Linked DNA regions of Sus scrofa. The protein of the gene in region 1 purifies or fractionates together with the protein of each later gene. This does not show direct contact. Links are inferred from orthologs where the notes say so. Each region holds a gene or a part of one and is shown on either strand. Other genes may lie near its edges. The genes, in order: UBA6 and USP48.

What was found.
Region 2: the proteins of UBA6 (region 1) and USP48 fractionate together in Homo sapiens (co-fractionation; 3 studies listed by BioGRID, with this or other methods). This does not show direct contact. The link is inferred for Sus scrofa from reciprocal best matches to the Homo sapiens genes UBA6 and USP48.

The regions. Positions count from the first base shown.
Region 1 is NC_010450.4:65,380,512-65,384,110, forward strand, and holds the end of UBA6 (ubiquitin-like modifier-activating enzyme 6), read right to left. Parts: intron 2,974-3,599; coding exon 2,838-2,973; 3' UTR 547-2,837; downstream 1-546. UniProt on the Homo sapiens protein: Activates ubiquitin by first adenylating its C-terminal glycine residue with ATP, and thereafter linking this residue to the side chain of a cysteine residue in E1, yielding a ubiquitin-E1 thioester and free AMP.
Region 2 is NC_010448.4:79,758,169-79,761,995, forward strand, and holds part of USP48 (ubiquitin carboxyl-terminal hydrolase 48), read right to left. Parts: intron 2,318-3,827; coding exon 2,213-2,317; intron 1-2,212.

The DNA.
Region 1 (3,599 bases):
TTATACATTTACAATCACAATGAGTTTTTGATAATAATCATTGGAGTCGAAAGGATTATTAGGTAAACTTCTTTCCCTCAAGATTTCAAGAGAAGAATTTTCTTTCTGTCTTTATTACACTAATTATAAAACAGTAGACTCCAAACACTGCTGATTTTTTTTATGCCTTGTCATTGGCACCACCAGGGAGTGCCATGATAGAAAAAAAAAAAAAAATCTATTTCCAAGTTCTACCTTTGGAACAATTTAAAGGAACTTATAGATGAGTAACATACTGCTCTGAAAAGGAATGCAATTTAAATCCCCAACCAACATCTGGGATATACCAGATTTTCTAGGTTTCTCAATATTCCCTCAATTGTTTTAACAGAATTTCCAGGAGCCAAAAGCACTCTGAAGTAATGTCCCTCCACATTCAGTGAGTATTGTATCTTCATGACTGCAAAACTTGAAAACTAGGAAACACCAAAGCAACACTACTCACCAAACGAATAGTAAAATTGGAATCTCTGGAGTCAGTATGGAACAGGATTTACAAAGACATTGTCAAATTTCTTAATTTATTTTTAATAGGTAAAAAATTACTCAGTGGTACTGTACAAAATCAAATCATTCATTTTTGCACCTGATATTTCAATTACCAGCAGTGATCTCATGGTACAGAAATAAACAAAATAGATAATGAAAAAAACCATCACTAAATTCACACTGGCTTTCCAGGTTAGTAGAAGTAAAAAGAAGAAATTAATGGCAATAAATATTACCTACAGGAAAAAAAAGCTATGAGAATATGGTTTCAGCCTTCATCACAAAATGAATTTAAGCCTTGTTGATTTTGTTGATATCTGCTAAAAGCACTGAATAAGAATTGATAACTTGGTTCTGTTCTAAATTTATTTCTAAAGAGATGTGGAGATTTGGACCAAATATAAGTAAGCTCTCAGATCACAACTAGAGAATTACTGAATGCCTACCTGGAAAATATGAGTTACTATCAGAGTACAAAACAGAAAAGTGGCAAACAGGATTCTTATAGAAAAGTCTTATTGCTAGTCTCTAAAGCTCTAAGCCACAGAGTTTTGATATTCCTTGATTTATTTTTAAGTAATATTAGTTTTAAGCATTATACTTGCAATATACATGATAGAAGTGGGTATGATTGATGAATCAAAATTAATTATTTTGAAGGCAGCCAATTTCTTTAAATGCATCCTGTTCACTTATCCTCATTTCCAAATGCACAGATTACCCTTTATTTATTTATTATTATTTTTCTTTCTCGGCTGCACTTTCAGCATGCAGAAGTTCCTGGGCCAGGGATCAAACCCGTGCCACACCAGCGACCCAGATTGCTGCAATGACAACACAAGATTCCTAACCTGCTGCATCACAAGAGAACTCCACAGATTATCAATTAATCATACAAATTCACCCTTCACTCCTAAATTATTTTCCCAATTAGATGATAGTTTTACAAAAGAATGAAACAATACAGTTGGCTAAGTAATTTAAACTATTCATAAGTGGAATAAAAGTTAAGTAGAGAATATAAAAAGATATCAAATTAGAGTAATACTAATGTGAATCTAGTTTTTAATTTATTGAAGTACCTATTCATGGTCTGAATAGAAGACAAGCAGCTAAAGGGAAATGACTTTGCAGTTATAAAATTGCTTTAGAATGCATGATAGCCTTAGAAAAAGAATAAATACTTGGTGTTTTCACTAAGTTGACAGTGCTGAGCACACTTTATGTCATCTTAATGAAAGCATTTCTATGAACATCTGCAATAGCTCATTTCAGAAAACAGAAAGTTTCTATCACAAAGACCTAAAAAAATAAAATTTTATCTTCATCAATTCCCTTTCTGGGAATGTAGAATTAAATTAATACATTTCCTTTTAAAATAAAATATTAATTTTTTTTTCTGTCCATTAGGTTGCTGGAAGAAAAAAATCAAGACTCAACTAGTGATAATTTTTTAATTTCTATTTTTCATCTACTTCTAAGGACAACTCCCTTTACAAAGTCTTTTAGTCTTATATGCTATGACAATCAGGTTTAGAGTTCCAAATAAATAAAATAACCACATCAGAAGGCATACTGAAGAATCAAATGACTAGCCGTGTTTATGTGTTCACATTCACGGATTCTCTAAGAGGCCTATCAGAGTCCAAAAAATATGTTAACATTTAGTTCCGGTTAACACCTGTCATTTGATGTGTTCAACAAAGATCCTGATTCTGAGGAGGCAGTGATATAAACTCTGGTTAACTCATCAGAGGTAACAGGACAGTAATCTGTAACTGTACATTTCAAATGTCTACTATTCATCCACTTCTACCACCCCTCCTCTACCCACTGGTGTTAAAGTCAAAGCCTCACCATGAAGGGTACAGGGAGCCAAACACTATCTGTATAGAAACACGGGCCTCAAATACTAAACAAAGAGAAATTCATAAAATAGGATGAAACCTTTTGGATAGCTCCATTTGTTACTTTCAGTTTCTTGATCTTTTATCTCTTCTGGTCTTGGATAGCTATTTTTCCTTCTTTTCGTTCAAAGAGGTTAATACACAAATATTTTTGTAAGCATTAAAAAAAGGCATTCCAGTTCAAAGTTGCTTGTGATTACATCCACATATGATGCACTACACAAGTGTATAGTATGCTTCAACATGCTTTACAATTCTTCACTGTGGTTTTCTACTGATGTTTCCCTTAAATTAAGGCTTCATCAAAGAGAAATCCATACCATTACAAACTGACTTTTTTAGCTCCTGAATGAAGTGCATTCTTTCCAACATTAAGTAATCCTAAATTTAAGACAACTTCTGTTAATCAGTGTCATGACTAAAGTAGTATCTTACTGGAGGTCCAGGTAAATCTTCATCACCATCAGTATCTGGAGCAAATGACACAGTAAGATCCACATATTTCTTTTCAGTAGAAGGTTTCACAAGTTTATGCATTCTAAGAAAAATAAACAAGGACAAATAATTTGGTAAATTCTGTAAAATCAGAGTGATGCGCTGATCAATGTTGCCCAATCTGGGCTTGTTCAAATTTATGCATATAATTATTTTCTTTACTGAAAGTTGTAAAATCAAGACACTCATTTACTTAAGGGTGAATCAATTTTTCCCTCTGTTGGTACTGATAAAGAAAATAGACCATTTATTGAAGGACAAACAAAAACAAAAACAAAACACATCGAAAAAAAATCACACACAAAAACACCCAAAATGTAAGCAATGCTTTTTAAAAATGATTTCTCCTCTATACTTCCTATAAAGTTTGGAGGGTTAGCAGCCATTTAGTCCTGTCCAAATGTCCATAATACATTTTGGTCCACACCAAAACGTCCATGATACTTGGTCTTGTCTAAAACCACTTGGTATGGCTCAAATTCCAAGAGCTTTTTTGGTGTGGACTAAATATCTTACAGATGTTTTCATAACCAATGTCCTATAAAGAGTATGGAAGCATTGTAAGTTCTTCTCAAGCATGTCTCTGTAAAAGTAACAAGCAAGCATTTAAATCTTCAAATGAAAGCTAGAAATATCACTATGAAAGACATTCTTAAGTTTCACCTTTCC
Region 2 (3,827 bases), on another chromosome or scaffold:
AGCCCCATTAAACTGAAAATCTACATCCTATAAAATGTATAGATTTAGTGGTTAGCACTGAGGCAAAGGGGCCCAGAACAAAAATTTGGTAGCAGTGAGTGAACAATCAATGCCAGCAGAACAAAGTGCCTGACTTTGTTCTTTCCCAGATTTTCCCCCCCCCTTTTTCCTTTTTTGGCCACTCTGTGGCATATGGAGTTTGCAGGCCAGGGATCAGATCTGATCCATAGTTGTGACCTAAGCCACAACTTCACCGGTGCTGAATCCTTAACTCACTGTGCCAGGCTGGAATTGAACCTGCATTCCAGGGCTCCTAAGATGCTGCCAATCCTGTTGTACTCCTTACAGGTATCTTATTTATTTATTTATTTTATTTTGTCTTTTTGCCTTTTCTAGGTCCACTCCTGTGGCATATGGAGGATCCCAGGCTAGGGGGCGCATCGGAGCTGTAGCCGCCAGCCTACGCCAGAGCTACAGCAACGTGGGATCGGAGCAGCGTCTGCAATCTACACCCCAGCTCTCCGCAACGCCAGATCCTTAACCCACTGAGCAAGGCCAGGGACCGAACCTGCAACCTCATGGTTCCTACTTGGGTTCGTCAACCACTGAGTGACAACGGGAACTCCCTCTCATGGGTATTTTAAAGTTAACATTTTATGAAATTCAACAGGTGATGGAATACAAATGGCTGTGGTTGCAGCTGTGGCTCAAATTTAGTCCCCAGACCAGAAACTTCCCTATGTTTTGGGTGTGGCCAAAAGAAGAGAAAGCAAACAAACAGCTAAGCAATCAGGTCTTTTTAGCAGCACCTGTTGTACCAGGAAATGCTCAGGCCAGGGATCCAACCTATGCCACAGCAAAGACCCAAGCTGACCCAATGACAACACCAGATCCTTAACTTGATGATGCACCACAAGGGAACTCATAAAACTAAACTCTGCAGTAGAAATCCTATAAATTTAAGGTAAATCTATACTGCCCTGGTGAATAACAGACATCTTGAGAAGCTGAAACTTATTTACACAATATTAACAGCCATATTCTCAGTGTTTCCTGTTTTTGACAATTTCCTCCAATCACTATGAAAATGTAGAATATAAACAAACAACCAAATAAGAGAGGTAGAAATATAACAATATACACAGAAAACAGGACATTTTAGTTATTAAATATTTGGAATTTAATATCATCACCATGAAGAATGAAAAACTAATGCTGGGAGTTCCCGTCGTGGCGCAGTGGTTAACGAATCCGACTAGGAACCATGAGGTTGTGGGTTCAGTCCCTGCCCTTGCTCAGTGGGTTAACGATCCGGCGTTGCCGTGAGCTGTGGTGTAGGTTGCAGATGCGGCTCGGATCCTGCGTTGCTGTGGCTCTGGCGTAGGCTGGTGGCTACAGCTCCGATTAGACCCCTAGCCTGGGAACCTCCATATGCCGCGGGAGCGGCCCAAGAAATAGCAACAACAACAACAAAAGACAAAAGACAAAAAAAAAAAAAAAAAAAAAAAAAAAAAACTAATGCTGATCTAGTGATTTGACTAATACATTAAGAGACCCAAAAATCTCTTCTATAAACTCCTCTTTTTTTTTTTTTTTTTTTGCTTTTAGGTACAGAGATCAGATCCAGCACAGCCCTAACTCTTCCCAGAAGGTTCCCAGGCTAGGGGTCCAATTGGAGCTATGGCTGCCAGCCTACACCACAGCCACAGCTAGGCAGGATTCGAGTCTGAGACCTACACCACAGCTCACAGCAATGCTGGATCCTTAACCCACTGAGCAAAGGCCAGGGATCTCATGCTCATGGATGCTAGTCAATTCGTGTCTGCTGTGGCAAGACAGGAACTCCTATACACTCCATTATCAAAGCTATTGTCTTATTTTGTTTGTAATGAGGGAAAATGAGTTTAATATATAAAGAGTCCATGATTAATCAACAGACCAAGATATGGGTCTTAAGTCTTCCTTCCAGATAAAAATTTTATCATTACAGAGTATTTAGCCTTAAGCGCAAGAAATGTATTTATGCTGGAATAATGTAGTCCATTGCGTTTCATGAGAAAATCAGGACAGCTATAGCAGGCTATCCAATTAAGGGGAGAAGAAAAACAGGAAAACCAATATCCTCCAAGGCTATGGGGATGTCCAGGGACTTTTAGTGACTACTTTCAGAACATCAGAAGGTGTAACAATGAAGAGTAGGTTCAGCACGTACTTGATTAAAATCTGGATCTTTTTCTCCGTCTGGCTTAGCTTCTTCCTTGTCCTCCTCTGTTTCAGAACTACTCACATTTAGTTCCGGAGCTGAATCCTTCATCACCTGAATGTGAGAGGAAAAGAGAGAGAAGTAGGTCAGCCACCAGGAAGGTGAGCTATGGTGGCTGTGGGGCTTGGACTGGCCACCTTTACCAATGGTGGGATAATAGACCAGACAGAGGATCAAGATTCAAGGCCTTTCTGTAACCTCTGCTCTTTAATACGCTGGTTTTTACTTTCTGATCTATTCTTGTATTTAATGTGTTCCCCATAAATGTAAACAGTCTCTGCAGAGCAGTTATCAGATTTTACAATGATGTTATTTTGCACAAGTTCGAAGGTGCTCTACATTTTCCCGTGACACTGATCTGTCAAGCCTTTTCAAGTATGGGCTGGAGTCCCAATGTTCCTTAAGACTGAGAAAATGAACTATGGATAAATACTGCTGTCAAAGCAATAAATAATAATAATAATGAAACTTTACCTAAATTGGATACTATTTTATACTAGATACCAATATATACATGCACTGATAGGTACAAAATATCAGAAAATTCTAGGGGAAACTTCATTTTCTCACCAAATTAGGAAATTAAGCCATCATTTCAACTTGTAAAAGCAAAACCCTAGACCATCAGAGCATAATTTTTAAGTTATCTTCAAATAATGTTTGATAACTACCATTAAATAAAATGTATTCTGTTTTTACTTCCAAAAAACCTTGGAACCAAATGAGATGTCTAGAAATCTGGCTAAGGATCTACCTAAGAGCCATCCCTAATATAGTTTAAAAAACAAACAAACAAAACCAATCCATAGTAACATCCCTGGCCCCCTAAATATACCCAAATCTGTCTACATCACACCTATCCTTTATATCAGTGTAAGAGGCTCTAAACTGGCTTCCTTATTTCCCATAATGTCCTCACCACATCCACACACAATGGTATGGGTGGACTTGAAAGTAAAAATGAGACCACACCATGACCTCCCCTGAAACTCTCCAGTGGCTTGCATCTACACTTAGAGATTCCATATCCTCGCCTTGATGTATATAAAATCCAACAAAACCTGAGCCCTCATCACATCGCTAAACCTCCTGGGAAGAAACTCTAGACCAGTGCTGTCCACTACAGTAGCCAGAGGACCCATGTGGCTATTTAAACTTAAATGAAGAGAAAAATTTCAGATCTTTAGTCACCCCAACCACACTCTATGTGTTCCACAGTCAAATGTGGCAAGTGGCTCCCACGCGAATAGTGTAGATCTGGAACATTTCCATCACTGCGGAAAGTTCCATTGGGCACTGATGCTCTAGACACAGTAACTATTGCTTGAGCACATTAGGCTTATGCTTTTGCTTGGACCACATGCCAAAGGCTGGGTCTCGGATAATAAAACAGCTCTTCCCTGGAGGCACCCTTCCTAACCACTCCCTATCCAACAGTGCACCCGGACTCTATTGGTCTCTCAACTTACCCTGCTATATTTCCTTCAAAATACCTGTTCTTATCTGAAATCATCCTATGGATTTATGGGCTTATTCTTGATCTGCCTCACAAAGTACAAATATT